Macaca fascicularis: one gene and its partners. The protein of the gene in region 1 purifies or fractionates together with the protein of each later gene. This does not show direct contact. Links are inferred from orthologs where the notes say so. Each region holds a gene or a part of one and is shown in the gene's direction. Other genes may lie near its edges.

Evidence for each region.
Region 2: the proteins of RPRD1B (region 1) and POLR2M purify together in Homo sapiens (affinity purification with mass spectrometry; 3 studies listed by BioGRID and IntAct, counting the BioPlex papers as one, with this or other methods). This does not show direct contact. The link is inferred for Macaca fascicularis from reciprocal best matches to the Homo sapiens genes RPRD1B and POLR2M.
Region 3: the proteins of RPRD1B (region 1) and RPRD2 purify together in Homo sapiens (affinity purification with mass spectrometry; 4 studies listed by BioGRID and IntAct, counting the BioPlex papers as one, with this or other methods). This does not show direct contact. The link is inferred for Macaca fascicularis from reciprocal best matches to the Homo sapiens genes RPRD1B and RPRD2.
Region 4: the proteins of RPRD1B (region 1) and PDRG1 purify together in Homo sapiens (affinity purification with mass spectrometry; 3 studies listed by BioGRID and IntAct, with this or other methods). This does not show direct contact. The link is inferred for Macaca fascicularis from reciprocal best matches to the Homo sapiens genes RPRD1B and PDRG1.
Region 5: the proteins of RPRD1B (region 1) and GPN1 purify together in Homo sapiens (affinity purification with mass spectrometry; 3 studies listed by BioGRID and IntAct, counting the BioPlex papers as one, with this or other methods). This does not show direct contact. The link is inferred for Macaca fascicularis from reciprocal best matches to the Homo sapiens genes RPRD1B and GPN1.
Region 6: the proteins of RPRD1B (region 1) and POLR2G purify together in Homo sapiens (affinity purification with mass spectrometry; 3 studies listed by BioGRID and IntAct, counting the BioPlex papers as one, with this or other methods). This does not show direct contact. The link is inferred for Macaca fascicularis from reciprocal best matches to the Homo sapiens genes RPRD1B and POLR2G.

Annotation. Positions count from the first base shown.
Region 1 is NC_088384.1:94,152,385-94,156,568, forward strand, and holds the start of RPRD1B (regulation of nuclear pre-mRNA domain-containing protein 1B), read left to right. Parts: upstream 1-1,384; 5' UTR 1,385-1,587; coding exon 1,588-1,738; intron 1,739-4,184. UniProt on the Homo sapiens protein: Interacts with phosphorylated C-terminal heptapeptide repeat domain (CTD) of the largest RNA polymerase II subunit POLR2A, and participates in dephosphorylation of the CTD by RPAP2. Transcriptional regulator which enhances expression of CCND1.
Region 2 is NC_088381.1:34,165,849-34,169,985, forward strand, and holds the start of POLR2M (protein GRINL1A), read left to right. Parts: upstream 1-1,337; 5' UTR 1,338-1,466; coding exon 1,467-1,579; intron 1,580-3,338; coding exon 3,339-3,986; intron 3,987-4,137.
Region 3 is NC_088375.1:110,894,860-110,898,974, reverse strand, and holds the start of RPRD2 (regulation of nuclear pre-mRNA domain-containing protein 2), read left to right. Parts: upstream 1-1,315; 5' UTR 1,316-1,348; coding exon 1,349-1,553; intron 1,554-4,115.
Region 4 is NC_088384.1:88,038,866-88,043,151, reverse strand, and holds the start of PDRG1 (p53 and DNA damage-regulated protein 1), read left to right. Parts: upstream 1-1,486; 5' UTR 1,487-1,561; coding exon 1,562-1,648; intron 1,649-3,508; coding exon 3,509-3,584; intron 3,585-4,286. UniProt on the Homo sapiens protein: May play a role in chaperone-mediated protein folding.
Region 5 is NC_088387.1:94,592,648-94,596,147, reverse strand, and holds part of GPN1 (GPN-loop GTPase 1), read left to right. Parts: intron 1-1,337; coding exon 1,338-1,377; intron 1,378-2,135; exon of another isoform or gene 2,136-2,264; intron 2,265-2,523; coding exon 2,524-2,614; intron 2,615-3,500. UniProt on the Homo sapiens protein: Small GTPase required for proper nuclear import of RNA polymerase II (RNAPII). May act at an RNAP assembly step prior to nuclear import.
Region 6 is NC_088388.1:11,288,832-11,291,634, reverse strand, and holds the end of POLR2G (DNA-directed RNA polymerase II subunit RPB7), read left to right. Parts: intron 1-795; coding exon 796-846; intron 847-952; coding exon 953-1,018; intron 1,019-1,265; coding exon 1,266-1,337; intron 1,338-1,832; coding exon 1,833-1,866; intron 1,867-2,086; coding exon 2,087-2,100; 3' UTR 2,101-2,303; downstream 2,304-2,803. UniProt on the Homo sapiens protein: Core component of RNA polymerase II (Pol II), a DNA-dependent RNA polymerase which synthesizes mRNA precursors and many functional non-coding RNAs using the four ribonucleoside triphosphates as substrates.

The DNA of each region.
Region 1 (4,184 bases):
TGCAATAAGAGCAAAAGCAGGTATCAATTAGAAGAACGTCTCCTAAACTACAGTCTGCCCACAACTAGGAAGTTATACCACGATCACGAAATTTTAAAACTCTCTTACGTCTATAACTTAACTCCCTACCATCACCCCTGTGGCAGTAAGAAAGATATTTCTCTCCTGCTTTGATAACTGGGATTTAAACACTCAAAAAAAAAAGGGTCAAGGTTTAGAGTCTCACAGAGTGTTTTGTTTTGTTTCAGACAAGAGTCTTGCTCCGTCGCCCAGGCTGGAGTACAGTGGCACGACCACAGCTCACTGTAACCTCTAACTCCTGGGCTCAAGGGATCCTCTCGCGTAGCTGGAACTACAGGTGAGCGTCACCATGCCTGGCTAATTTTCGCTATGTTACCCAGGATGGTCTTGAACCCCAGTCCTCAAGCTATCCTCTCGCCTCGGCCTCCCAAAGGGTTGGGATTACAAGCAAGAGCCATTGCGCCAGGCCTCAAATAGCGTGTCTTAACATGAGGTCAGCAGACACATTGGGAAGGGTAAGTTAGTTCCCTCCACCTTTTCCCTAAAGTTAACACCTCACTTAAGTTCGAAAAAGTCAACTGGACCCCCAGAAGGCAAGAGCAGCATGTAATAACACCCTGAGAACCCACTTAAGAGCTGAGAGCCCAAATGTGTTTCATGACGGCGCTGTTACAGACTAAAAGGTCAGAATCGGACATTAAAGGGTGCTCCGGAAGGCTGAGTAGGAGCTCACCAGGTGAGAAAGGGGATGTCACTTTCGGAGAGAGAACGAGCGCCAGGGCCTGGAGGCATGAAAAGGGCACGTGGGTGGCTTGGAAGAACCAAAACTAAGTGTTTTTGGGGACAGCCAGAGAACCGAACACGTACGGAGGAAAGGTGCGGCCTGGGGCCCGCCAGATTAGAAAGGAAACCCCCCTCCCATACCCATATCATGATCTCTCAGCCTCAGTGTCCCCTCAGGATACCCCTCTACGGGGTCCCAGCTGTTGGGCTCCCTCTGGTTCCCGCCACTCTTCCCTTACCTCGTCTTCCAGCCTTTCCCTCACTCTCCCGCCTCCTCTGCCTCGCCGGAAGTGACGCGCTAAGTAGCGCGCCGTACCGCGCCAGAAAGGTTCCGAGGGAGCGGGAAAAAGGGTTCCGGCGAGATCCACTGCGCAGGCGTGCGGGCTTGAGCGGTCAAGGCCCTTTCCGGGGGCCGGGGGAACTACGTTCCTTCCCTCGCTCTGTCTCCTTCGAAGTCGTCTGCGCGAGGTTCAGACAGGCCGTCGCCTTCAAAGGGACGGTTTTCTAGAGCTCCGACGCCTCTCGGTGCCCAGCTGCTCTGGCCCTTGCCCTTTGACCCCGCTCTCGCGGTAGGGTGAGAGGTCGGGTGGCCATCTTGTGGCGGCGGCGCGGGCGGCTGTTACTGCGGAGACCCATCCCCTCCCCCTCCTTGCCCCCCTGGCCGTCTGTCAGTCGGTAAAAAGTCCCGCAGCCTGTCAGGTGAGGTCCCGGCCTCGTGCCGTCGCTCTTCCCGCCGCACTGGGCGGCCCAGGCCGCTCCCTGCCGGGCCTCACTGCCGCCACCATGTCCTCCTTCTCTGAGTCGGCGCTGGAGAAGAAGCTCTCGGAGCTGAGCAACTCTCAGCAGAGCGTGCAGACCCTGTCCCTTTGGCTCATCCACCACCGCAAGCACGCGGGACCCATCGTCTCCGTGTGGCACCGCGAGCTCCGCAAAGGTAAACACCAACTCCCCACCCCTTGGACGGTCCCCGGGTTGTCCTCTCGCCCACCCACACGTTAGGCCCTTCTAAGCCTCTTCATTGAGCCTTGCTTTCCAGGCCTGATCGAGCTTCTGAGATGGGAGACAAGGTTAGCCCCATTTCTCGAAGAAGGAAACTGAGGTCCGGGAAGGTTTAAGGTACTTGTCTGAGGTTCCACGGACTGGGACTCAGGTGTCCAGACTTAGAGTTCATCAAGCCATTTTCCCTTCAGTTTCCGCCTGACATCTGTGGCTGTTATTATCTCGGCTGCATTCAGCGCCGCACTGGCCCTAGCACGTCAGGCCCAGTGCTGGGTATTTGGAGTAAAAGCCAGTGGGCTCCGGAGTTAGACTCCGCAGATCGAGTGCTGGCTGGCTCAGCGACTTGCCAGCTGAATAATAGTGGGAGAGTTTCTTCATCTCCCTGTGTCTCTGTTTTCTCATCTGTAAGAGGGAGGCAAGGATAGCTACCCCCTACAAAGCCTTTACTCCATACCAGTCACTATCCTAAGACCTTTGTATATATATCCTCACACTCAGTCCTTAGAACAGCCCTGTGAAGTAGATAGTCTTTCCCGTCTTAGGTTAAGGAGCCACCCGACCCAGACCTTACCTCTCCTCTCCTCTCATGCAGCTGTCATTGATTTCAGGGCCTGCTCAGGTTCTGACAGACATTCATTGAACTCAGTCTGTTATGTGCCAGGCACTGGCTTGGACACTTATAGCGTGTTGCCTCTGCCAACTGCCTAGAATTTAAGTCTGACTTTGCCGCCTTACTGACCCCAGCAACTTAACCTGTCTGTCCCTTCATTTTCTTATCTACAGAATGGATAATCGATACTTACTATGTCTTTATTACATGCGAAGTGCAGTACTGATATCTTTACATACATTGCCATCAAAAAAAATTATTGAAGCCCTATAAAGTAGGAACTTTGCAGAAGAGGAAAAATTGAGACTCATCTCGTGGTGAGAAGTAAACAGGATAATCCAAATGAACATTTAGCACGGGGTCAGGCACATTGTAGGCATTCAACAGATTATGGTGAGATGAGACTTTTGATTACTCACTCACTGTGAGGCATGGTCTTTGCCTTCAAGTTGCTTACGGTCTGGTGGGGAAAGATGGGCACCTGCACTCCCTGATGAGTTTCATAATGGAAGACTGAAGAAATGAAGCTCCGAGCTGCTCCGGACACCCTATATGTGGTAGGCCTTTATAGCAAAGGAAGTGGCTTTACAAGTATTCTCTGCTATCGGTGAGTTGAGGACACCACAGATGTCCTGCTCTACAGGCGAGGAAACTGAAGTGGCTAAGTGGTATTTTCAAGGGTTTTGAACTGTTGAGGCTCAGACTACATCAGGCTGGCAAACACCAAAATCCATGATTTTTTTTAGAAGACCCAGTTCTAGCCCTTTAGCAGGGACCCTCCAAGTATTGCATACTGTACTAAGATAGGGATCCCCGCAGCCTTTCGGGCAGTTGCGGGGAGAGGTAGAGCCTGGAGTTTATGGGGCCTTCTTCATGTACCCCAGTGTGCCATTCAGAAATTATTTGTAGAGTCTGCTGAGATGTGAATTGCCACTGTATAGAATTCTATTGGGTGGGACCTCAAAAGGCAGTTAAAGTCCGTCTCAAGTGAATGTACGGGGTCTCGCTCTGTTGCCCGTGCTGGAGTGCAGTGGCACAATCTCGGCTCACTGCGAGCTCCGCCTCCCGGGTTCACGCTATTCTCCTGCCTCAGCCTGCCCAGTAGCTGGGACTATAGATGCCCGCCACCACGCCCGGCTAATTTTTTATATTTTTAGTAGACACGGGGTTTCACCGTGTTAGCCAAGATGGTCTCCATCTCCTGACCTCGTGATCCTCCCGCCTGGGCCTCCCAAAGTGCTGGTGTTACAGGCGTGAGCCACCGCGCGCAGCCAGGTGTCACTTCTTTCGTGACTCTTTCTTGATTCTTCACCTCACGCTAGTTGAGTTACTGAAAAAAAGCAAATTAGAGAGTACATTTGAGTATGAAGCTCCGTTATCCCTAATCTTATATGGTAGAGCCTTATGTTGCAAGTAGGCCAGCATTATTATCCTCATTTTATAGATGAGATGATAAAGGTATAGAGAGATTAAATGCCTTGTCCAGAGACATATAGCTAGGACATGAGCCCAGGGCTGCCTGATGCCAAAATGTGTTCTTTTTCAAGTACTCTGTGTCTCGGTGCATTTAATAAGTGAAGGTGGTCACCTGACCCCAACCAAACTGTAGTGCTTTCATTTATTAGAATTAATGAGTGCCTTCCACCCGTCATACCAGTTTAGCATTTGATTTGTTCCTACTAGCTGTTCATTTGAACTGGTTACATCTTTGTCATTAGATTATGTTTTGAGGGAGAAACTAGACCTTCTTGTTTATTTGTAACACCACAAG
Region 2 (4,137 bases), on another chromosome or scaffold:
CTTATACAGAGAAAACTTATTTTGATATACTAATGAATCTGATCTGAATGGACTAGATTGGGGGGATAAAAAAATGGTTGCAATTGTGCTCCCTGGAATAGCTTTGGAGTTTACCTAGATCTTCTGTCTCTTTGGGATGGAGCTGCTTGTGTTAATATAGCATCTTACATAGGATTGAGACAACTTCAATTTCCTATATAAAAAAATCGGGGGAGGGCAGTAGTTTTGGAGGTTATGGGGGTGTTCAAACCTCCCAAGTGATATCTGCTGTGACTGCATGTCTTCCTACTGTTTCCATTGGGATGCATCTCTGGTAGGTGAACTATAACAAGAAACTAAAAGCTGTGTCCAATACTTACTAAACTGTCTTCTTCTCAACAGCTGGGGGAAAGAAAAAAAAAAGTCTTTTCAACAATTTTGCACATTTGGAGATAGGCCTAAAGTGAAGAAGGGAATTTTCAAATTGGTGTGTTGGAAAAGCCGCTGGGCTTTTGGGTTTGAAATCTGGTGCTGTCACTTACTGGTTTTGTGCCCTGGGAATATTTATTTCAGTTTTCATGACTCTTTTTCTACAGGCAAAGTAGAAAATTATAAAAGGTCCTCAACCAGTTTGTACAGCTGCTCCCACTCCCTCATCACCTCTTGTGGGCCTTTGGAAATGTATGTTGGGGGAGACATTTTGGATTTTTGCAATTACTTGGGAGTGCCATGGCACCTAGCAGGCAGAAGCCAGAAACACCAAATGTCTTAACAATGCCTGAGGCAGTGCCACAAATGAAGTCCTGCTCCAAATGCAATGAGCCCCGAAAAGAATTGCTGATTCTAAGGAACCTTCCAACTTTAACATTTCAGGACGTCCCTAAGCTGAGCTAGGAGGCACCACACACAGGCCGGAGTCTCCCAAATCCTGTCCCGCACTCTCCTCTACCTTATTAACGGCCAACTCATCTTTCAGGTTTCGACTTGTATTTCACTTCTCAGAGATACCTTCCCAGGTGCCCACCCCAACGTCACTATTATATTATTATTTGATTCTCCGTCCCTCCGTCCCCCGCGCCAACTCTGTAAACCCCAACTATAACAGAGGACGTGGCTCTTTGTTGACTAACACATAGTGCTTGGTGAGGTCACGCTGGCGCCAAATACTTTTTGTATAAACCTATGAACAGCTGACAACCGGATGAACGCTCACACGAGGGGAAAGGGCGCCAAACCCAGGCGCCGGCGTCCTCCGACGTAATTTCCGTCCTTTAGCGCTCCTCCGGACGCCCCCTTCTCCCGGTCCGTGTTTGTTTCCGGCATTTCAATAAAGCTCGATTCGGCTCGAGGAAGACCCCGTTCTTCCGGGAAAATGGCGACTCCCGCTCGAGCCCCGGAGTCACTGCAGTCCGCGGATCCGGCGCTAGCAGCGGGGCCTGCCGAGGAAGCCGAGTGCCCGCCGCCGCGCCAGCCTCAGCCTGTGCAGAATGTCCTCGCTGCCCCGCGGCTTCGAGCCCCAAGCTCTCGAGGACTTGGGGCAGCGGAGTTTGGTGGAGCTGCGGGAAATGTTGAAGCGCCAGGAGAGACTTTTGCGCAACGAGTAAGCTGGGGTCCCGCGGAGTCTCCGCCAGGCTCCTTCAGCTCGAGCTCCCTGGGCGCTCCCCTCCCCTCCCCCACTCTGTTTCCTTCCCTGGAAGGTGACCTTGCCTCAGTCACATTCGCCTCAGTCCTACGGGCGAGTGGACGGAGGGCTTGCTGTCGCAGAGCCGTGCCTCTTCCTGGCCAGGCACGTAGGCCTGCGAGGATGGCTCGGACTGAACGGCTACTTATTGTTGCAGGCAGTTAGTAGCCCCTCGTTGGTTTTATTTGCCCGGGGACTGTGTTAGTTCCATGAAGCAAGAGTCTTCATTCTAAACCCTTTTGTCGCCCGCACCCCTAACCCATAACAAATTGTCAGCTTCGTCTCTGGATTCTACGCTTACAGGAACCGTAGGAAATGGGAAGAGTGGGATATGAAGAGGCGTTTATTAGGCCGGGAAAGTTCAACCCCCAGTCAGCTGGTTGATTTAACGGATTTTAGCAAGGGAGCCACGTGATAAAAGTGATTTTGTTTTTCAGGCAGCTTTGTTTAGCAGCTTGTTGCAAAAGATGGTTTGAAGGAATAAAAAGCGGGAGACAGTAGATGGCTATTTTCAGAGAGGCTCCCCACGAGACAGTTGTAAGAAAGTGAACTAGGAAGGGATTGGGAGAACTTTTAGGCATAGAGTCATTTAAATGTAGTTGACAGAGATGGCTGAGTTTTCCAATTTGTATGGAAGACCACTAGCAAAAATAGGAATATTCAGGGAGAGGAATAGATCCGTGGTTGATTTTACGTAGGGTGTTCAGAGTTGAGGGGAGAGCGGGACAGACATTTGACTAATTGAAAACCAAACACTTAAAAGCTGGAGAAGTTGTCATTAGGCTCAAGAAAGAGAGAACTCTGGAAAAATATAGAAAACATAGGAATTTCAGCTGTAGAGTGTTGTTAATAGTTGAAATAGTGGGAATGAATGTAGTGTCAAAAAGAACAAAGGACCTAAGATTTTTCTCTCCATTTATTGTATAATTAAAGAAAAGAGAATCAAAAAAGGAACTCTGTCATCTAGCAAAAGGGACAAATAAATAATTGATTGGGATCAAGGCAGGTGTTTTTACCTTGTGAGAATAGGTTTTTAATCTGTAGTAGTGAATTAACTTTTTGGTCTCAGGACTCCTTTATACTTTAAGATTTTTTGACATCCCAAAGAACTATTTTATGTGTTCTGTCTAGTGAAGTTTATTTACTTATCAGAAATACAGCTGAAGTCTTTAAAACATAAGCATACACAAGCACACATTCTATTCTAGAACAATGATGTCATCATATGTCATGTAGCCACTGGAAAACTCCGCCGTACCCATGTGAGAAAATGAGAGGGAAATAACATCTTAGTATTATTATGAAAGTAGTTTTAAAATAATAGGCCCATCCCCACACTCCACCCCATCCCCAAATTGTGGGGATTGCACTTTAATGACTGCTGGTTCTTAGAATGTCTTATGTGATTATTACATGCTTAAAATACTTTTGCCGAAATTCTAATTTGCTGAGACAAATGAGGCATATATTCCCTATTCCAGCATTCCCTTGTTTTTTTGTGCTGTTTGGATAATGACCGTTTTATTTGTTTTATTCCTGTTTTGGGGCAGTTAGAAATCAGATATTTGACTTAAAAATCAGCTTTTCTTTCTTTGAAGATAATGCTTTGCCTTTTTAATGTTATATGTCAAGTTAAAAACATGGCTGTAATGTGTATGTATTCTTTTCCATTTGACAGAAAATTCATTTGCAAATTGCCCGACAAAGGTAAAAAGATCTTTGACTCTGTTGCCAAACTGAAAGCTGCTGTTGCAGAACATGAAGAAGTTAGAAGAAAAAGTGAACTGTTTCACCCTGTTAGTTTAGACTGTAAGCTAAGGCAAAAAGCAATTGCAGAAGTTGATGTGGGTACAGATAAGGCCCAGAATTCTGACCCGATACTTGATACTTCATCACTAGTTCCTGGGTGTTCCTCTGTAGATAATATCAAGTCATCTAAAACAACCTCACAAAACCAGGGACTTGGACATCCTACTCATGAAGGTGATGGAGAGACTCCAGAGGTTGAGTACACAGTGATTAAGGGCCCAGCTTCCAGCAACAGAGACAGGGTACCGTCTTCATCTGAAGCTAGTGAGCATCACCCGCAGCGTCGTGTTTCAAGTCAAGCAGAAGATACTTCCAGCAGCTTTGACAACCTGTTTATTGACAGGTTACAGAGGATCACTATTGCAGACCAAGGTGAACAACAGTCAGAAGAAAACGCAAGTACTAAGAACTTGACAGACCTTTCTAGTGGGACTCAGAAGAAGCCTCATTACATGGAAGTGCTAGAAATGCGAGCCAAAAATCCAGTGCCCCAGCTGCATAAATTTAAAACCAATGTGTAAGTACCATCGGAAACAGGCCTATAACAGGAACATGATATTTGTTAAACTCAAAAAGTTAAGAGAAACTGGGTGTCGTGGTGCTTGCCTGTAGTCCTAGGCTACTCAGGAGGCTGAGGTGGGAAGACAGCTTGAGTCCAGGAGTTGTAG
Region 3 (4,115 bases), on another chromosome or scaffold:
ATAGGTACATGCGATAAAATGGTTCCTATAAGGTTCATATAATAGTTACGTAAAGACTCTTGCAAACTATAATGTATTATGCAATTTTAAGATTGTGTCATAGCTGGCGAAAATGAGGTCACATCTTCCCATTCTGTTTTCGCTTCGAAAAATTTTATGAGGAAAATTTCCTTTCACTTCTTCATTTATTTCCTTTTCCTCTAACCTAAATGGTCAAGCGGCTGTGAATGTTATCTTCCAAGGGAAGCGAGAAATACGGTTTGGTCTCGGAGTCTGCGTAGTGAATGGCTCACTGGAGCTGGCGCATGCGCATCTTTTGTGGTGCTGCAAGATGGCTGCCAGCCATTTTGTCGCGCGTTGCTTCCCCGAGGAGTTGGGGGCGATGGCTGCAGCCGCCAAAGACTAACAGTGGGCTCAGTGGTGGGAATTTTCTGTCTCTCTTGTGTGAGCTGAACACACCCAAGAGAGCGACCAAAGCAGCAAAAAGCGGGGCGGAGCGGTGGAACCCCCCCACCCCCCGTCTAACCTTAGACCAGCTTCCTCACCCATCCCTCTTAGTTTTTCCTTCCATCCAGCTACACGCTCATCTTCTGCGCAGGCGCACAAATAATCGTAGCGCCTCCTGGGTCCTGGGGGCTTCAGAGCTCCTGCGCGCGCTTCTGGTTCTGCACTCCTGATTGGTCAGATTGCCGCGCCATCACACCTCCCTCTGCTTTCAAGGTTGAGAAGGAAGCAGGGATGGGGGGGTGGGGCTAAGCGGCGCGTGCGCGATACTGTTGCTGCCCCTGTGCTGCTATTGCGTTGCAAAAAAAAATCCTGACTAGGTAGCCTTGGACCTTTTCTGTGCTAGCCAGTCTAAAGGAGAGAAAGATTTCTGCAACTGAAGGGGCAGTCGGGTAGTATTAAATTTAAGATATTAACCCCTGACCTGGCTCACAGGAGTGTGGGGATAGGGGCGGGGAAGGGCCTTAGCACTGAGAGCCGAAAAGTATAAAACCATTAGTTTCGGCGTCAGGCGGTTTGAAAGGTTCTGCAGGTCCTGTTTTCTGCGTAATTTTTCCGTGATTACTGACTGGTTTAAACACGACCCCTTGAACAATATTGATAAAAACCTCTGAGACCCGCAGCCCCTCCTTGCAGCGTGTAGGAGCTGCCAGCGTGCCCAGCAGCTGGTGTTCCCGTCCGTACCTCCAGAAGAGCCCAGCGCGTGCACCATCCCCACCCCCTAGCCTCCCTCCCCACCTACGGCTTTCACGCACTCGCAGTGATTGTTTTGCCCGCTCCCGCCGCCGCCGCCGCCGCCGCCGCCGCCGCCAGAGGAGCAGCAGCGCTTGTGCAAACCGGGAAGATGGCGGCCGGCGGCGGCGGAGGCAGCAGTAAGGCCTCCTCCTCGTCGGCCTCTTCGGCAGGGGCTCTGGAGTCCTCGTTGGATCGAAAATTCCAGTCGGTAACCAACACCATGGAATCCATTCAAGGCTTGTCGTCTTGGTGTATAGAGAACAAAAAACACCACAGTACTATCGTCTACCACTGGATGAAGTGGCTCCGGAGATGTGAGTGTTGGGGGTGACTAGGGAAGGGAAGACTGGGGAAATGGAAGGAAGTGTGGCCCGAAACGCCTGGGGTTTTCCCACGGAGCCTCAGCGTTTGGTTGGGATTGTTCACATTAAAGGTTTGACCCTAGTGTTCCCAAACCCAGACTCCATTCCTAGCCAGGATTGTCTTGAATTGCAGGAGACTCATTTCTTGGGTTTTTTAGCTATTGAATTGTTGTGACCTTGGGCCGTTGGGCCCAGATCCATAGAGATTTACGTATATATATTTTTAATATTTCAGAACCTTGTAAGGTGTATTGATTTTTCCGAACCTTCGCGGAAATTGTAGCGTCTGTTTATTTCTTACAGGCCTTGACGTGTTAGTGATTTCTGGCTTTCCTGATGGTAGGCAAGCTGTGGTTTTAAGCAGTAGTAAATCCAGTGATGTTTAATACGGAGTGCCTTGTCTGGATGAATGTATCTAAAACTTGTGATGTGTAGTAAGGAGAGCCTTACCTGGATGAATGTTAAGAAGCAGCATGAGCTCTGCATAGATCTGAGGCACCACCGGGTTTTACCTGTACCTGTGTTTGCTGCAATATAATACAGGTTTCTTGTATACTGACCAGAAACAACTGCGATACTGTAGTCATAGTCAGTATCATCATTAATACCTTAAAATATAAATCGTGTCCAGTTATTATTATTTTTTTTTTTGAGACGGAGTTTTGCTCTTGTCGCCCAGTCTGGAGTGCAGTGGCGCGATCTCGGCTCACTGCAACCTCCGCCTCCCGGGTTCAAGCGATTCTCCTGTCTCGGCCTCGCGAGTAGCCGGGATTACAGGCGCCCGCCACCATGTCCGGCTAATTTTTTGTATTTTTAGTAGAGACAGGGTTTCATGTTGGCTAGGCTGTTCTCGAACTCCCGACCTCAGGTGATCCACCTGCCTCGGCCTCCCAAAGTGCGGGGATTACAGGCGTGAGCTCCCCCGTGCCCGGCCCCGTTACTTTTTAATTACCTGAAATACCTTTTTATACAATTGAGTTGATCTCATGGGTAATCACAAAAGGAAATGTGCTTTTTGAATATGTAGTACCTTTTTCTTCAGTTATGCCTTTTTTGTCTTTATCCTGGAGATTTTTCCATTTTGCTGCTTTACTACAGAAATGAGCTCTGTTAAAGCATGGATTGTTTGCAGAAGGTTTCAAATCTTACAGGAGGAAGTGTGGAGAAGTCACTGTTTCCTGCTGAGAAGAGAGGGTTAACTCTTACTCCATATATATCTATTAGAATTTTTCTTTGCTTCCTGCCTGCGGCATTTCACCAGTGAGACCCATCATCCAGTTATTCTGCCTTATTTCACTTTTGCCATTGCTCCTGTAGTGTTTTGATTTGTTTACCTTTTAGAGAACAGATAGATAAAGTTTGCAAAATTATAGGCCCCATGCTTCAAACTATTTGTGTTTAAAGTTTTGAGAGGGATGTTTTGTGGTTCTTTGAATAATAATGCAGAGAAATTAGTAGATACAAGACAGAATTACCTGTGTTTACCAATAACAGATCAAATAGTTTTCTTGCCCAGAGATAAAATTATAACGTGCAAAAACATCAAATATGCTAACAGTCATCATCGAAGACTCACATGTTAAGTATCTGCTATGTGCCCAGCCATCTCATTGTACCTTAAAATCGTCTGAGAAGTAGATTTTTTAATCACTGATTTACAAACGAGGAAACTAAGACTCAGAAATTAAGTTGCTTAAGGTTACTCAGTAAAATGGTGGGGTTAGGGTTTGACTTCAGCATTAACTTTGTAAAATAATGTTTAATGTACTTGGTACACCAGTGATATATTGCAAGCAGTTCTAATGTGAGTGAGAGAACCTATTCTCCACCCTATTTTAAAACATTTTTACTAAACTATACAAGCATTTTACATTTCCTCACCTTGGGCTCTGGGGCTTTAACTGTATGGTTACATCATTTGCAAGAATAAGTTGGTCCCCGTCCTGTCTCTGCTGTGTGGGATCACCAGTGACAATTACAGTTTTTTTTCTAGTCAGCAATAATGAGATATAATGAAGCCAGAATTTTTTACCTCAGCTGTTGTTGCTATTGTGCCTGAGCTTATTTCCTTTGTTGATATCTTAAGAGTGAAAAAATGAATGCTCCAGGAGGGCAGTGTGTCAGTTGAAGTGCATTGTGTGTAGTTTATATAGTTAAGTGCTTTTGGCTAAAACAACATCATACATTGATGTTGTTTTTCTAGCGGAATGGAATTTAACTTTCTAAAATGATTAAGGGTAATTTTAGTCATTTTGTATTTACATTTAATGAACTTCATTGATCTCACTGTAAATAAAGTGTTTTGAGAGAAATATTCAGCAGAATGGTGTGGGGCGCAATGAAAACAGTTTATGCATGGGCCTTGTTTTCATTTAAGTTATTTCTTTACAGTTATACTTAGTTTAGTTTGAGTTTGGTTTCTAAGTCAGCTTTAGGAAAAATTGTGAAGTAGGTATCTTTGTCATTCCCAGCCTTTCTGTTCATTTTCCTGATGCCACTTTGCTTATCTTTTTT
Region 4 (4,286 bases), about 6.1 Mb from region 1:
TTTTTTCAGGGTCCAGAAATGGCATGGACACCAGGCACTCCTGGCTTGCTGTGTGATGAGGCACTGCGTTTCTCATGGCCTCAGTCTGCAGCTGTGAAATGGGGCAGTAATAATCCCATCCATACAAAGGTTGCTTTGACACTCAAGTAAGGCAAGGGGTGTGAGGGGTTACAAGAGGTCAAAAGGAGAGAAGAAGAAGCTGGAGTCAGAGAGGCAAAAGATCAGAGTGATAATACCAGTTCTGCTCTTTAGACTTTCAAAGTCCTTTCCCAGCGCCTTTTACAGCCCTGTGGGCTCAATGCCTCCTTCCCCTCTGACCTCCTGCCTGCTTCCCCCTGCCCATTCTGTTCCACATACACTGGCTGTTCCCTCTGCCTGGAACACTCTTCTCCTAGGCATCCACATGGCTCACCCCTCACCTTCTTTTCAAAGCCTTACCTCTCTCTGAGTTCCGTTTTTTTTCCAGCTATCCAATGAGGAGTTTGGGCATGAAGACCTCGTGGGAACTCTCTGGTTCTGATGGTAACCATTTTCCATCTTCCTGCCTCCTCTGGGAAGTCCTACCAATCCTACAACCCACACCCGTTTGCTTTTCTGAGCTACCATTTCATTGCTTACTGCCCATAGTTTTCAAGTCTGTTCCTTATGTATAGGCCAGTTACTTTGGGCATTGGGTCCAACACAGGGGCTCAAGTGAACTCTGGTTAAATGGAATTAAAAGTGATAAAGTGATTACTGCTGGAGTGCAGTGGTGCCATCAGAGCTCACTGCAGCCTCCACTCCCCAGGTGCAGGTGCTCCTCCCACCTCAGCCTCCTGAGTAGCTGGGACCAACAGGCGCGCCCCACCGCACCCAGCTAATTTTTTTTAATTTTATTTTTTATTTTTAGTGGAAACGGAGGTTTTACTGTGCTGGCCAAGCTGGTCTCTAACTCCTGGGCTCAAGTGATCCCCCCGGGCTTTGGCCTTCCAAAGTGGGATTACAGGCATGAGCCACTGCGCCCAGCCGATTCCTACTTCCTTCCGATTCTGTGGAGAGACACTGAGGCGGATTTTTATTCATCCCCTTTTTATAAATTAGAAACTGAAAGTGTCAGAGATTAAACATAAGTCACACTGCCACATGGGCCTTCTTGGTGTTTCTTAGCCAGGGGAAGAATCATATTTCCCAGGTCCTGATCACTACCTGCCATTAATTGTCGGTGTTTCCCACTGGAATGAAGTTCCATGAAGGCAAGGATTTTGTTGTGCTCACTGCTGCATCCTAAGCACCTAAAACTGGTTGGCACATAGTAAGCGCTCAAGAAGTGTGAACCGAGGAGTTCAGAGACAACCCACGGACTGAACTCTCTGAGCCTGCAGAGGGCGCTCCAGCCCCGCCCCCAAAGCTAGGCCCCGCCTCTCGCAGCCGGCTGGCGCACGAGCGTTGGAGCCTGCGCACCACCGTTCTTTTAACTGCGCAGGCGCGCCGGAAGCCCCTTGAGAGCGGCGCATGCGCAGCGGGAGTCGAAACGGAGACCCCCGGGGTCGCACGACAGCCGCAGGAGGAGTTGGTGGGCGGTATGCTATCGCCCGAGGCGGAGCGAGTGCTGCGGTACCTGGTAGAGGTGGAGGAGCTCGCCGAGGAGGTGCTGGCGGACAAGCGGCAGGTGAGAGGCCCGTCCGCGGCGCTGGGGCCTGGCGGCCGGCGCCGTCGGAAAGCCCGCGGGGTCGCGGAGAGTTGACCCGGACAGGCGGTTAACGGCTCCGAGGCGACAGACGTGGGCCAATTAATATTCGGCCGCTACTAAGCGAGCGCCTGCGCTGTGCTGGTCATTCCTCGCTCTTCATCTTTTCTCTGCCCCTTGCCATGCTCTCTGGATCTCGACCCATCATGCTCTGGGCGGTTTCCTGAGCACCTGTTTCAAAATGCACTTCCCGGCCCCATGGTTGATCTGGGGGCACCGCCCTGTAAAGGCCCTCGGGGAGAGCTAGAACCGAAAAGAGGCCTGAGGGGGCCTTGTGACTGGGAGGGGGTGGGGACCTGGGGGAAGGTGGCGCCCTGTTTATGGGGTGCCTTGTAGGGGGTTTGGGTCAGGCTCTAATTTAAGTGCCAAGCTTTAGAAGGGAGTTCCTTGGGGAAGGAGGGTGACGTAATTGGATTTAGGTTTTAAAAGGATCCCCCGGCTGCTGTGTGGAATACAGAATATAGGCGGGCAAGGGTGAAGGCAGGGAGACGGGTGAGGGGCCATTGCTATGGTTCAGACCAGAGATGGATTTGGACTAGGTAGTGGTGGTGGAGAGAAGTGAAGGGGTCAGAAATGTATTTTGGAGACAGACTCAGTAGGCCGTGATAGTGGCTGTGTAAATGGGTGAGGGAGCCACGGGAGTCGTGACTCCCTCTCATCTCCAGTTAGAAGGGTCAGGTATTTACTGAGAAGGGGAAAACTTGGGCAAGAATCTGTCAAATTAAATACTGGATCAGGGTGTGCTGGATGAGAATAATAAGAGCACTTAAAGTTTATCAGCAGGCCTGGCGCGGTGGCTCACGCCTGTAATCCCAGCGCTTTGAAAGGCCGAGACGGGCGGATCACGAAGTCAGGAGATCAGGACCATCCTGGCTAACACGGTGAAACCCTGTCTGTACTAACAATACAAAAAATTAGCCGGACGTGGTGGCGGGCGCCTGTAGTCCCAGCTACCCGGGAGGCTGAGACAGGAGAATGGCATGAACCCGGGAGGCGGAGCTTGCAGTGAGCCGAGATTGCGCCACTGCACTCCAGCCTAGACAAAAGAGCGAGACTCCGTCTCAAAAAAAATAAAAAAAAGTAAAAATAAATAAATAAATAAAGTTTATCAGCTACTTACTATGTGCCAGGTACTGTGTTAAGTCATTTAATTGCTGGCTCAATAACCTGTGAGGTAGGTACTGTTTGTAGCTCCATTTTGAGGAGGAGTAAATAGGAAGGTGAAATTACACAGCTTGAGGCAGACAGCAGGATTCGAACTTGGGTATTCCAGCTCCAGAACCAGCACTCTCGTGCAGTATACTGTACTACTGCTTCACTTCCTTAGTAGCTATTGTGTTGTTACCACTGTCTCAGTGCCCCCAATCCTGCTGTTCCAATCTAGTACTGTTGGGTTTCTCATATTACTAGTTCACAATCAGCTGGAGAAGTTTGTCCAAAAATAAACATTAGGCCTGCTTAATCACAGTGTGTAGGGGAAGGGTTTCCACTCCCCCGGTGATTCTGACATGCCCTAAAGTTCGAGTGGATAATGCAGAATTTCCCGTTTAGTCAGCACATGTTTTCCCAGCATCTTCTCTGGGCAGAGGGCAGCTGCACACAGCATTGTCTTTCAGACCAGGAAGCTGAGTGAGAAGAAATACATTCACACATCAATCCATTTTAGGCAGGACATTGGATGTAACCAGGAATAATTCATTGTCTCTGCAGCTGTTGTCTGTCAAGAGGTGACAGCTTGGGGCAAGAGATAGCTGAGTTCCCTCCTGTCCCTGTGGTTTTCAGATTGTGGACCTGGACACTAAAAGGAATCAGAATCGAGAGGGCCTGAGGGCCCTGCAGAAGGATCTCAGCCTCTCTGGTAAGTTGAAATTTTCTCAGTGCAGCCCTGGAGGCCTGTTCCATTTTCCTTTAAGGCCTTTACCTTGTCCCTGATAGAGATCAGGCAGGAGGTCACAGCTGTATAACAGCCTTGTGGGAAATTGAAACAGTCTGAGGAGATGGGGGAGCAAATTTTGCAGTTCTGGCACAAACTGTGGTTCAGGATTTTGCCTGCTCACTTCAGTGACTGGTTGTTAGCTCCTGGCTTAGCAACAATGGCAGACACTGAGAGAGTGTTGGGGATGTATGAAACTGATGGTTCCTGCCCTTGTGCTTTACAGATGAGGAAAACAACGTAAAATGTGTAATTGAAAGTTGTAAGAAAGCCAAAGATGGAATTGGACTTGGGGTGGGTGTTGAGAATATATATCTGGAAGAATGGGAACCCTTTAGATGAGGCCGAGTGGCTGTGGCAGAGGAAGCAGATGGGGAGTAAGTATGGCTGGAGAGAGGGGCAGAGACCAGGCCATAATGAAAGGTCTTGGGGGATAAGGGAGGAAGTTTACATTTTGTTGAAAGTGCACTAGAATGTGGAGAATCTTCCAGTTGCTTCTCATCTCATCTGAGTAAAATCCAGAGGTCCTGCAAGACTGAGTAATCCAGCCCCCGTGAATCCATGAGTGTGCCAATATCATCTCTGCCCCTGCCCCGCCCCCCATGACTCCATCCACACTGGTCTCCT
Region 5 (3,500 bases), on another chromosome or scaffold:
ATGGATATATTATATTTGCCTTGCATATCTATTGAATCAGATCACACGTAGGGGTAACAAGTTCCCTTTAACTTTTTTTTTTTTAATGGAAGTATAAATCTTCATTGTATTGAGTGATTAAGAGCAGGGATCATCAGACTTTTCTGTAAAGAGCTAAATAATAGATATCTCAGGCTTTGTGGACCATACAGTCTCTGTTGCAACTGCTGAAGTCTGCCATTGTAGGACAAAAGCGTCCTTAGACAATTCGTAAATGAATGGGCGTGGGTTACAGTAAAACATCATTTATGAAAACAGGCAGTAGGCTGGATTTGGCACTAAGGTTGTTGTGAAGACTGAGAAAACATGTATACAGCACTTATCACAATTGCTGACATATAGTAAGCATATTTTATAATAAATGTTATAACTTGTCATTGTTAATACTGGAATTCCATTTAACTAAAGGAAAGTGGAGTCAGAGTCCTGTACACTTTCCTTAGGCCTGTGGCACGATAGCCGGCTTATTAGCGTGTGTCTTTGGCTTCATATTTTGCAAGATCCTAACAACCATGTTTTGGTTTTCAGACACGTTATTTTGATTTTGATTCATTAGACACAGGGGTATTATCAAAACCTTAGGGGCCGGGCGCGGTGGCTCAAGCCTGTAATCCCAGCACTTTGGGAGGCCGAGACGGGCGGATCACGAGGTCAGGAGATCGAGACCATCCTGGCTAACACGGTGAAACCCCGTCTCTACTAAAAATACAAAAAACTAGCCGGGCGAGGTGGCGGCGCCTGTAGTCCCAGCTACTCCGGAGGCTGAGGCAGGAGAATGGCGCAAACCCGGGAGGCGGAGCTTGCAGTGAGCTGAGATCCGGCCACTGCACTCCAGCCCGGGCTACAGAGCAAGACTCCGTCTCAAAAAAAAAAAAAAAAAAAAAAAAAAAAAAACCTTAGGATAGACTCTTCTCTGTATCCTTTCACTGTTGGTGTTCAAGTAAAGCACATAATTGTATGTTGCATATCCTGAGCTCAACAGGCTTATCTTTTACTTATCTCAGCCTTTTATCTCAAATGAATGATGAGTTCATCAGTCATGTTCTCACCAGTATTAATCTTTCCAGCCCAGCAGTCAGGATTGTGTCTCCTGGTTCCAAGGTGGGAGCGGGCACCTTGGCTTTTAATTCCATTGGGTAGACTCTATCAGTGACTAAGATTTGTTACATCTGATGTTGAATGAAGTCAGATATTTTATTATTGTCAGAGTCTTAGGAAAACAGAGGACATAAGGGATGTGGAGAGTAAGTAGGATAGATGATTAAGCAAAGGAATTTAGAAAGTGTTTCTCTTTACAGGGAGTATCGTCCTGAATATGAACGTCTGAAAAAATCACTGGTAAGAAGGGAGGCTGTTTGTATATTTTAGAAGGGCCATTAAAAAAACCCAGCTCAATCCTGATGACATAAGTGCTTTTGTTTTGGTTATTAATGTATCTTTTATTTAACTAAAAAAGTTTTTTGTAGCTTTATTGAGGTACAATTGACTAATGAAATTTCAGTGTATCTTCTAAATACTTGTTAATTTAAATTTGTACATTTGTATGTATGTTGTCTGGGTGCAGAAAGGCTCCTTAATGTTTCTTCCCTCTCAGAGGTCAATTTAAAACTAGTTGTAGAATTTTGTATAGAGTATGGTGGTGATTCACAACTCCTTTTTTCGTTGTTGAGAAAGGGTCTCACTCTGTCACCCAGGCCAGAGTGCAGTGGCATGATCACGGCTCACTGCAGCCTCAACCTTTTGAAAGGCTTAAGCAATCCTCCCATCTCAGCCACCCGAGTAGCTAGGACAACATGTATATACCACATGCCTGGCTAATTTTATTTTGTAAATTTTTGTACAGACAAGGTCTCACTATGTTTTCCAGGCTGGTCTCAAATTCCTGAGCTCCTGCGATCCTCCCTGCTGGGCCTCCTGTAGTACTAGGATTACAGGCTGAGCCACCATGCCCAGCCTTCTCTTATCCCAAATGATTGAGTGTCCTGCTTCCATAGGCTCATTGGATCCCTTGTCTTTGAGCCTTCCTGCTATGTCTACTTCAGGTTTTTGTGTTTTTTTCCCATATAATAAATTTTATTATATCTTTTGTTTTTTCATTTTGTAGGCTGGGGATGAATAAAAAGAGTAATGCTTTCTATCTAGGCATTTTGCCTAACCAGTTGAAATGTTCCAGTTTAATTAACAGAGCAGGAGATCCACCCTGGACTGAACTCAACACTTTGGAATTGAGGGTTCTTTTGAAATCTTTTTGTGTTCAGTTTCTGAATCCTTTAAATCAGTCTGCAGAGCTCTCTAGTCTGAACTTCTGCTGTAACCCAGGTCCACGCTACTTAGTGTTTCTGTCCCTATACCGGACGTCCCTTATCTGCATCAGTTTTTATGTAGCCTCTAGTATTTGTATAATTCTTCGTCTCCACTGAGAAGTCTGGCATCTAATTTGGGACTCCTTTTTGAATATGATGACATTTTTCTCTATATATACAGGCCAGTGCAGAGAGCCAACAGCAGAGAGAACAACTGGAACGCCTTCGAAAAGATATGGGTTCTGTAGCCTTGGATGCAGGGACTGCCAAAGGTATTGGAGGGTTTCTTGGTGTTAGGAACTAAAAAAAGGTTACACTTACTTATTTCTTTTTTTTTTTTTTTTGAGACCGAGTTTCGCTCTTGTTGCCCAGGCTGGAGTCTCAGCTCACCGCAACCTCTGCTTCCCAGGTTCGAGTGATTCTCCTGCCTCAGCCTTACTGAGTAGCTGGGATTACAGGCATGCGCCGCCACCCCTGGCTAATTTTGTATTTTTTTTTTTTTTGAGACGGAGTCTCGCTCTGTGGCCCAGGCTGGAGTGCAGTGGCTGGATCTCAGCTCACTGCAAGCTCCGCCTCCCGGGTTCGAGCTATTCTCCTGCCTCAGCCTCCCGAGTAGCTGGGACTACAGGCGCCCGCCACCTCGCCCAGCTAGTTTTTTGTATTTTTTAGTAGAGACTGGATTTCACCGTGTTAGCCAGGATGGTCTTGATCTCCTGACCTCGTGATCCACCCGTTTCGGCCTCCCAAAGTGCTGGGATTACAGGCTTGAGCCACCGCGCGCGGCCCCTAATTTTGTATTTTTAGTAGAGATGGGGTTTTTCCATGTTGATCAGGCTGGTCTCAAACTCACAACCTCAGATGATCTGCCCACCTGGGCCTCCCAAAGTGCTGGGATTACAGGCATGAGCCACCACGCCTGGCCGGTTACACTTATTTCTACTCAGCAGAATTCTATTTATATATGAGAGAGATAAAGAGAAAAAGATAAAGGAAATGTGGTTATATATATACACACACACATACACACATACACACACATATATACACACACAACACACGCATATGCTTACATATATTAAAAAATAAAGGATTTGGAAAGGCAAACAACTGGAAATTATATATAGCTGTATCACTTTGGATTCCTCTTTCAGGAAGTTT
Region 6 (2,803 bases), on another chromosome or scaffold:
CTTGAACGTGGGAGGTGGAGGTTGCAGTGAGTTGAAATTGCACCACTGCACTCCAGAGTGAACAACAGAGCGAGATTCTGTCTCAAAATAAATACATAAATAAATACAAATGAAAGCTTAAAAAAAAAGAGAAGAGGGCTGGGTGTGCTGGCTTACACCTATAATCCCAGTGCTTTGGGAGGCAGAAGTGGGAAGATTGCTTGAGCCTAGGAGTTTGAGACCAGCCTGGGCAACATAGCAAGACTCTGTCTCTACAAAAAGTTTTAAAAAATTAGCCTAGCATGGTGGTGTGCACCTGTGGTCTCAGCTACTTGGAAGGCTGAGGTGGGAGGATTGCTTGAGCCCAGGAATTCAAAGGTACAGTGAGCTGTGATTACACCACTGCTTTCCAACCTGGGCAACAGTGAGAACCTGTCTCAAAATTTAGAAAGCAAAAAACAAAAACACAACACTTGAGGGGACAAAGAAAAGCAAGATCACTCTTTTTTTTTTTTTGAGACGGAGTCTTGCTCTGTTGCCAGGCTGGAGTACAATGGCGAGATCTGGCTCACTGCAACCTCCGCCTCCCGGGTTCAAACGATTCTCCTGCCTCAGTCTCTTGAGTAGCTGGGATTACAGGTGCGCTACCACACCCAGCTAATTTTTGTATTTTTAGCAGAGACAAGGTTTCACCATGTTGGTCAGGCTGGTCTTGAACTTGTGACCTCATGATCCACCCGCCTCGGCCCCCCAAAGTGCTGGGATTATAGGCATAAGCCACCGTGCATGACCATAAGATCACTCATTTTTTTCTAGGTTGGACTCTTCACAGAAATTGGACCCATGTCTTGCTTCATCTCTCGACATGTAAGTCTAGGCACACTGGGTGGGGCTGAGGAAGAGAGATACCCATTCATTACCATCTACTGAAGCATCCTTTTAAAGTGCTACCCTAATCTCACTTTCCTTTCAGTCCATCCCTTCAGAGATGGAGTTTGATCCTAACTCCAACCCACCATGTTACAAGACAATGGATGAGGTAAGTGGACAGAAAGAAGTCAGGAAGAGGAAGAGAGAATCAGTCATCCTGAGGGAGAATATTGGCCTGAGGATGGCCGAGCACAGATGGTCCCTGAATTACCATGGCTTGATTCATGATTTTATGACTTTACGATGATGCGAAAGTGATGTGCATTCAATATGCCCCCGGGCTTACAGTGAAGTAGTTGTGATGTAACCTCTCATAAACTGAGGAGCATCTGTACACTGTTCCCTCCTCTCCCCAGGATATTGTGATTCAGCAGGACGATGAGATCCGCTTAAAGATTGTGGGGACCCGTGTGGACAAGAATGACATTGTGAGTCTTTTCCCCACCTCTACCTATACCAGGCTGAGCGGAGAGCTGTTGGATTTCTTGCCACCTAGTTTCAGGGGGTTCTATGCTCTTCTGTCAGGAAGAAGGGATGGATGGGCAGAAGGCCTGGGGCTGCGGGGTAGAGGTTGGTTCTGTGCTCATCTTGGCTTCACTTTCTTTTTTTTTTTTTTTTTTTTGAGACGGAGTCTCGCTTTGTCGCCCAGGCTGGAGTGCAGTGGCCGGATCTCAGCTCACTGCAAGCTCCGCCTCCCGGGTTTACGCCATTCTCCTCCCGAGTAGCTGGGACTACAGGCGCCCACCACCTCGCCCGGCTAGTTTTTTGTATTTTTAGTAGAGACGGGGTTTCACCGTATTAGCCAGGATGGTCTCGATCTCCTGACCTCGTGATCCGCCCGTCTGGGCCTCCCAAAGTGCTGGGATTACAGGCTTGAGCCACCGCGCCCGGCCTTCACTTTCTTTTTACCATCTTTCCTGCAGTTTGCTATTGGCTCCCTGATGGACGATTACTTGGGTGAGTGCCTGATCATATGGGCTGGGGTTATTGCCTGGAGAAGGGTTGTGTAGGGGTGGGGAGTAATACAGGATTTAATGCCCAAATGAGAGAGAGACAGAAGAAACTTTCACGCTGTCTGGTTGAAAGATCCAGGACACGTTCCTTGGGATGAGAAGTACATGGTTGTGGCTGCCCCCAAATTCTGGGTCTAACTGATGCACTTTTTCTGGTTTCACAGGGCTTGTAAGCTGAGCCTAGTGGCTTCCTACCCTTGGTCCTGATGTAGGAAGTGTGATTGTCACACTTACCGTGTTGTCCAGAGGTCCAGTCTGGCTGCTGTTGTGGAGGCAAGGAAGGCAACTCATTCCAGAAGGCATCTGGTGCTTCTTTTAGCTTAGCTACTGCCTCCTGATTTTTCAGTATGTGTTCTAAGTATAAAAAGTCCTTGGTTCTCATGGAAGTGTTATCCTCTTTTTTTTTTTTTTTGGCAGTAACAATAACTCTTTAAGGAGGCTGTGGAGTTGTCTGCTTACTAGCCCCTCTTTCTTATACTGATGCGTCTGCTATCCTCAGCCACCCAGGGGAGCTGACTAACCCATTTGTCCAGGTTTAAAGGTGACCTCATTGAAGTCAAGGCTCTGATGTTGGGTCTTTGGCTTCCAGCAAATGATACAATCATTAGCGGCATTCTGAGTACTGATATAGTTCCAGAGTGTTTGCTCTTCTCCTGCCCTTAAAAGTAACCAAGAGCATAACTGGGAAAGAAGGGAGAGGAGACAGCAGACAGGGAGAGATGAACAAGAGGCTAGTAATGACACAGGCTATAGGATCTCAACACAGCCCTTCCTAAGATGGGTATATAAACAACAGTGTATCACTATACTACACTGAACTGAAGATGTAAAAGGGCTCAGAATCTAGTTAGGGTACAAAAATGTATGAAATACCTACAGGA